Danio rerio: one gene and its partner. The protein of the gene in region 2 binds, or shares a complex with, the protein of the main gene of each other region. Links are inferred from orthologs where the notes say so. Each region holds a gene or a part of one and is shown on either strand. Other genes may lie near its edges.

What was found.
Region 1: ints7 (region 2) and ints12 share a complex: the UniProt entries of both Homo sapiens proteins name them as parts of the integrator complex. The link is inferred for Danio rerio from reciprocal best matches to the Homo sapiens genes INTS7 and INTS12.

The regions. Positions count from the first base shown.
Region 1 is NC_133176.1:28,088,457-28,092,582, reverse strand, and holds the start of ints12 (integrator complex subunit 12), read left to right. Parts: upstream 1-1,208; 5' UTR 1,209-1,512; coding exon 1,513-1,668; intron 1,669-1,752; coding exon 1,753-1,914; intron 1,915-2,008; coding exon 2,009-2,193; intron 2,194-2,587; coding exon 2,588-2,747; intron 2,748-2,831; coding exon 2,832-2,984; intron 2,985-4,126. UniProt on the Homo sapiens protein: Component of the integrator complex, a multiprotein complex that terminates RNA polymerase II (Pol II) transcription in the promoter-proximal region of genes.
Region 2 is NC_133195.1:14,300,066-14,303,720, forward strand, and holds part of ints7 (integrator complex subunit 7), read right to left. Parts: intron 3,517-3,655; coding exon 3,384-3,516; intron 3,262-3,383; coding exon 3,163-3,261; intron 1,244-3,162; coding exon 1,058-1,243; intron 1-1,057. UniProt on the Homo sapiens protein: Component of the integrator complex, a multiprotein complex that terminates RNA polymerase II (Pol II) transcription in the promoter-proximal region of genes.

The DNA of each region.
Region 1 (4,126 bases), on a different chromosome or scaffold from region 2:
AAAATGCTTAGAAGACCTATAGATGTGTGGCACTTACCTTTTTTCTGGGATGTATTTGATTGGTCTAAGTGACTGAATAATTCTGAAAAATTATTCGATTCGTCTGATATATTTAGAACAGCTGTTTTAGTGACAGCGCCAGCTACTTGAAACCACAGAGAGATAGAAATAGCATCTATGCGGTGTTATTATTGTAAATGCTGCTGTTTGGATTCTTATTGTCTAACCCCTGCGATCTGGGACAAGAACCCCCGTCACACCAGAACAGCCAATCAGCTTCTTACACTCGACAACACAATTATGACGCTCCTACAACGCATTCTTTTGACCCCTGTCAACAACGCCATAACGGGCAAGATATGCCGTTAAATTCGCACAATAAATGGTCTTGGATGGTTATAGAACAATAAGGTTTTGAGAGTTTGTTACGAGACGTTATTTACCTATTTGGTCAAGGATATTTCAATTTTACGCACTACGTAGCATTTCCTTGTGTTACATTTATTAGTGTCCGGCTGATATGATTTTTAAGCTGGTTGATAAGCTCGCATTCCTGATGATTTTAATATATTAATACATAGTGATATTTTTAAAATAATTTGCAGGCTGAAATTTCATGTCGAGGTGCTGTTGGTGAAAATGACGGCGGAAACGAAGCGCTTATGTCGGTATGATTTAGTAGAAACACAAAAGCGTCATTAGAAAGAAATAAAAGAACAGTCGGCAAACATCATTATGATCACCAGTTATCCAGTAGGGGGCACTTGGTGGCTCAGAATGCAAAGCGCTATCAAGCCATCAAAATCCTGCAGAGAAATTTAAGAAATTTACAAATGTTAGTAAATAGAAAACATGTGTCTAAGGCAAGTCCATTAATTTCTAATAATTTGGTACATAATTCTCACCAACAGGTTATTTTTAATCTAACAATAAGAACTGACAAGCAGTAAGAAAAACAACAACTATCACGTGACAAAACCGTTGGCGTGTTGCTTCATCTTTTATGTGAGCAATAGTTTAAATAGGACACTTTTTAAAATAAATATTGTTTTTACAAACAATTTTTAAAACATGCCAAAGAGAGATAAATTAAAATGTAAATTAGCACAAAAACAGAAAACAGATTCATCCGACCAATTAGAGACAACCTCATGGCCACTAAGCCACGCCCTATTGAGGTCCCCATACTTTTCAAGCGCTTTCTTTCTACTTGCTCTATTTTAATTCGATACTATAGTCGGATCATTTCAAGCATTGCTAAGTTAGTTAATTTCTGCTAAGGATAATATCTTGTTTTTTTTTTACGGTTTATAAAAACGTTCCTTAAACAAAAGCTTGAGCACAATCCGGTGTCAGTAAGTTCATGTTGCTTTTGTTAGCTCAGAAAGACTAGATATTGTAGAGTCTGAAATGAAGCTTTTCTAGTGTTATCCGAGAATATAACATCGTAAACTCCATAAGTAGAGGGCCGGGTCATTTTCTTATGTTAAATTAGATAATAATCGCTAAACAATGGCTGGGACAGTAAGTCTAGAGTTAGACCCTATCTTTCTGAAGGGACTGGGGTATCTTCACTCCAAGAGCAAAGACTCGGCAGAGAAACTCAAGGCCCTGCTAGATGAGTCTTTAGCCAGAGGCAGTGACTCCATCTATAGGAATTCAATTAAGGTGATCAAATCAAGAAGGTATTATTTTTTTGTTTTTTATTAGTAGATTTTAAAAAAAATATTTAACTCGTTATCCATTGAATAGGAAGCTGAAGTGAGCAAAGTGTCATTGCCAAAAATGACAAAACAAGACTCCAAATCCTCCTCAAGTTCCTCAGCGTCATCATCCATCACCACCACCAGCAGCAGTAAATCAAGCACCTCAGAGAAGTCCAAGAAAGAGAGCGAGAAAAGAACTTTGGAAAAAGTCAGTTTGCACTAATATTCATTTATGATTGTAAATGTGACATGACTGGAAATTCTCAGCATAATTCACTTTTGAATATTTGTATGATTTAAAGATTAGGGTTGATCCTGGAGAAGGAGTGGAGCCGCCTAAGAAACCTCGTTTAGAGAAGCAGGACAGTCATTCCTCTCCGATTGCTTTTCAAACCAAGGACATTCCCATTCCAGATTTCACAGATATTGATGAAACCAACGCTGATGACTTTGCCATGGAAATGGGTCTTGCTTGTGTGGTTTGTCGGTGAGTGATGCCACTTCTGATGGAGTTTTCTTCGAATAAGTAGCTATATGTAGTGGGAATGTGAGTGTGTTAAAAGTTACAAAAACACACAACTATTGTTGTTTACTAACAGGCATTAATTTACTCATAAAAATCTGTATTCATTTGTTTGTTCAATATTCATCAGTATCTTTCTTTATGTTTATCAGAAGAAAGATACTTCAACTAAAGGTTTAGAGCAAGTAAAGCATGAGTAAATGATAATTTATTTTTTGATGTTATTTGTGAGTGTTAGATAAACTTTTTTGGATTTTTTTTTTTGTGTCATTACACTGATGTCGTTGATGTTCTCTGAATCTTTAATTTATTTTCGGCCATTTTAATTCGAAATGTATCTATATTTCTCCTCTCTCAGACAAATGACCGTCACTTCTGGGAATCAGCTTGTGGAGTGTCAAGAATGTCATAATCTTTATCATCAAGAGTGTCACAAACCTCAGGTTACTGACAAGGATGTGAATGACCCGCGACTGGTGTGGTACTGTGCTCGGTGCACCAGGCAAATGAAACGAATGGTGGGAAGTGTATGACAATGAATTTTATGCGTATCACTGAAATAATAATGAAATATTAACTGTTATGTGTTTTTAATATCTCAGGCCCAAAAGACTCAGAAACCACCACAAAAGCCAGCTCCTGCTTTGGCAACAACAGTACCTTTGTTGAAAGATCCGCTAGTCAAGAAAGCTGAACTAAAGCCAAAACCTGAAACGACAGGTTCATTCCAGGCCTTTAAGAGAACAGAAGTAAAGGTAAGTGTATTCACAGCAGCATAGCAATATTAACTTCTTTTCAATGATCTGATCACAAGTGGTCAGCAGAAGGTCATTTTCACCTGGTATTATCTTAGGTTATAATGTGTTCAGACTTATCTAGATCCATTCTTTTCATTTTGTTGTTTTCTTCACATTGTTCACTTTAACAGCATATTTTGATTACATTTTTATTCCTAGTCTTTTGATTAAAATCAAATTTAGTATTACTAGTCATATTACTAGTAGTATCTATATTCTACTGTAGATTTATTTAACTAAATCTAATAGTTGAGTTAAATCAAATAAATTACACACATCTCAAATTTCTAAGCTTATTATGTACTTCTGGAGAACACACTTATAAACATGAACAATATTAAGGTTTGAACAAAAAAGTATTTTGGTGTCGCTTTAGCCCTGTGCAATGGCAAACCGAAACAAGTTCAAGTCTATTCATGTCTAAAACACCAAGTCTACACAAATTTACATTTTTTTAAAACTTATTTTTATAAAAGCGTAAAAACAGGCGAAAGACCATTTAAACCCCAGGCACTGTTATGGCCCGTTTCCACTGAGTGGTACGGTACGGTTCGTTTTGGTACGCTTTTATGGCCATTTCCACTGTCAAAAGGCATACCGAACCAAACCGTACCGTACCACTTTTTCGGCACCCTTTCGAAAGGGTCACAAACTGCAGAAAGGGTCCCAAAAGGTGGAGCTACATGCGCAGCTGAATGCTATTGGTTAATAGAGATACGTCATTTGTAGACTCAACAAGCCAGAATGTAAACAAAGGACCTGCCATGTTTAAAATACACAGCGAGAGATTACACAAAATTATATCTACATATGCAGCCATAGTCGATCCGGGCTCAAACAAACCCTGTCGCCGTCTTGTTAAACAGCCACAAAGCCATGGAGAAGAGCAGATTTACCCTGTGCCGCGTAGTTTTTTTACGAGCCAGTCTGAAGCCTGAGTGGTTTCACTTTTTTTCCTTGCGCTCGACGCGCGTTATCTGAAATAACTAACTTCTTTAGCTGATAATAATAACATGCGCTTGATTATTGACAAGCTTTGGAAACCCGATCCTGTGAGAAGCTGACAAACGCGAGAGTGACACATTCAGAAAGAAAAGGAC
Region 2 (3,655 bases):
GCGTTCGCTACCCAAGCTCTTATAGTAACCAAGGAAACAGTGGCTAAACACTTGTAGTATTATACACAACTGAAAGCAAGTTTAAATGTCCTACAACTTTACACAAACAGCTGAAAACAAGTCCTCAAACCATACACAACAACTGAAACAAGTCTTAAATGTACTTACAGGCTGCTGGTCTCGATGTTAAAGTGAGAAAATAAAGTGTATTAAATATCATGTTTAGCAAATATAGTGAGATTAGATCCAGCGGTAGCCTAGATCCTTGATAAACAGTTTGACGAGCACAGCTCTCATCTGGGTGGATATGCTGCAGCGCATGCCAATGTGTGTGTGTGTGTGTGTGTGTGTGTGTGGTCACCTGATGTGCGTTTTCAGTGGTTTGGTGTAGACGAAGAGCTGTTCAGAAACGCTGGGTGAAACGCTACTGTGGATTGTTTTTATTCTAAAACGTTGTTTTAAAACTAAAACGCACTAGTGTAAACGGGGCTAAATGTAAATGTAGGTGTGAACAGACCTTATAAGGTGTTTGTTTACGGGAGTGAACTCTATTCTAAACTCCCCAAACAAAGTATTAAATGCTTCTTAAAACGGAAGCTGCTATCATTATTTTTTTCAGATTGTGATGAATTTCCTTGAAAAATTGAATGTTAAATGAGAAAACAGTGGGTGTGGCTTGTTTTTTTCTACTGTGAGCTGATTGGGAGTAGTAAAGTAGGCATTTCATTAAGGAAGATGGGGGAAAAAGTTTGGGAAGAATTATTACATTCTAACAGACACCTCCTGCTCACCATTTCTGTTTGTTGCCACTCTCATTACCTCAAAATCACGTAAACTTTTAATATAACAAAAAACAAACAGAAAGTGCATTTCAGATTTCAATTAATGATTAGAAGGACAAACTATTTCTTTTTTTCTTAATCATCTAAATCTTTTCTTCTCTTTAATTTGGCTTGATTTTATTTGCAATAAAATGTAATTGAGATTGAAATAGACCATCAGGAACAAACATAAGAAATAAAATGAGTGTAAGTATTGTACTCTGTGTTGAGCTCACCTTGAAGTCTGATCCTGGTTTTGTCTGTAACGTCGAGCTGACTTTAAGACAGACTGCCTGAATCTTCCGGAAGAGTCCCGGACTGGAGCCGTGCTGAATAACACCCTCCACTTTTAAGGTCAGCTGCTGGTTGTTCTGCACTGGGATCGGCTCATTGGGTGTGCGGGGAGATGGAGAGAGAGCAAGCTAGAAGAAGAAAAAAAAACATGTATAGTTTTTATAAACGTAACTCCTCTTTCAGACAGTTTGAAACTCTTGAAACTAAAGCTAAGAATTAGACACAAAAGATGTTTTACATGACTTTCCATGATAACAATAGATACAAGTGTTCGAATCTTTAGTACATAAACAACTGACTTTATTTTATTACTAGAATTTTAATAACTATTATCTCAGTGTTAAAACTTTGACATTTACTTTTTTTTAAAATAAATATGCTTATTTTAGATATTTGGAAACAATTTACAATAACGCTCGGCTAGTTAATGTACAGGTAACACTTTAGTTTGTCTAACAATTCACACTATTAACTACTGGCTTAGTACCTGCATATTAATTAGATATTGGCTTAATTAGTACTTCTAAAATATGATCTTAATCTAAATCTCTAATTCTTAACTCAATTACTACTATACTTTTAATAATAAGCAGCAAATAAGTAGTTTATTGAGGAAAAGGTTAGGGCTGCACAATATTAGAAAAATCTGATCTTGCAATATTATATTTTTCTGCAACAATATATTGCGATATGGATACAGTATCACAAAATGGTTTAAATAACTCTATTTTATGGTTTCCTTGAAGTCTAACACTATTTAGGTACAACAATTTAATAATCACAAAGCAAATAATCCTTATACGTTGCTTTGTCTCATTTTTAGTCCAAATATCTAAAAGTTCTTAGGTCAAGAAAAAATATTGTTTTGTTTTCGACTTCAGACGAAATAAATCAAAAATAATTTTTTTTTCCTTAAAACAAGCAAAATGATCTGCCAAAGGGGTAAGTAAATTAATCTTGCTAATGTTGCTTTGCAATGTACATATTTGGACTGGAAACAGGACAACAATAATATAAGATTTTAAATTTTTTTTGCTTAAATCGTGTAAATTCTGTATTCATAATTAAATGCACCTCCAAAAGTCTTAATTTTTTCTGTCCAAATGTTCTGTCCAACTCTTCTGAAATACTTACTCACAGGCCTTAAAAACACATGCAAATGATAAACCTTCACTATATTATAGTTAAACTTCAAATCATGTGTTCTGTAGCCCCGGGTCAAGTATAATTCAGACTCAACATTGCATATCTTGGAATATTTGATATTTGGAATTAATTTACAATAACTGCTAGTTAATGAACAATTTAGACTCCACATACATATAATTTATTCATTTACTTTTAGGCTTAGTCCCTTTATTAATCTGGGGGGACCACAGCGGAATGAACCACCAACTTATCCAGCATATGTTTTACGCAGCGGATGCCCTTCCAGCTGCAACACATCACTGGGAAACATTCATACACACTCACTTACATACACCACAGACAATTTTTAGCTTATCCAATTCACCTATAAGCAGTAAGCACGTCTTTGGACTTGTGGGGGAAACCGGAGCACCCAGAGGACACCCATGCAAAACACGGGAAGAACATGCAAATTCCACACACAAATGCCAACTGACCCAGCCGGGGTTCAAACCAGCCACCTTCTTGCTGTGAGGTGATAGTGCTACTCACTGCACCACCATGAGGCCCAACAACGTGAGTTAGTTAAGAAGAACTAACAAATAAACAAATGAATTTATAACTAAAGTAAAATAGATGAATACAGTAATAAATGTAATGTTTATGTAACAAATACATTATTATTTTAACCTTATTAAAAAAAAAAATCAATTTTTTAATATAAAAAGAAAAAATTTGTATGTTTTATATATTTGTATGTGTATGTATATATTTATAACTGCATTCTATATAAGTATATTGCGTAAAAAAAAGAGTAAAGACTAAAGTTAAGGTTGAGACTAAATAAAATTGAAACTAGAGTGTAAACATTATTAATATTCTTTTTTTTTTTTTAAACAACATTGTACAGGTCACTCACTTTAATGCTGGTGGACTGAAGCTTCTGAAAGAAATATCTCTGGAACGACAGTGGTATTTTCAGGATGGCTATGACAGTATCACACAGACAGCCGGTGTGCTTAAAACAGACCGAAATGACAAATTTAGAAAATTACTATGTAATTAAATCCATGAAAAGTGACTCCAGACATATTGCAGTCAGTATAAGTTGGCTGATGGATACTCTTAGAAACGCAGTACCAGGTAAGAAACAGGAGGGTGTTTCCTGCTTAGATTTTCCACTTCCTCCAGGACATGATTGAACACAGCCATCATTCTCAGCTCATACTCGCTCTCTGCCAGAATTGATCCATGAGTGCCAAACTCCTGGAAACTGAACCGGATGTTGTCTTTAAAATGTGCACTTTTTGAGACATTACAACTAAAATCTATTATACAATTCATTTAAGGCCAGAAACTAAGATCCTATTTTCTTATTTGAATTTGATGTGGGATAGTAGCATAGCATTTTT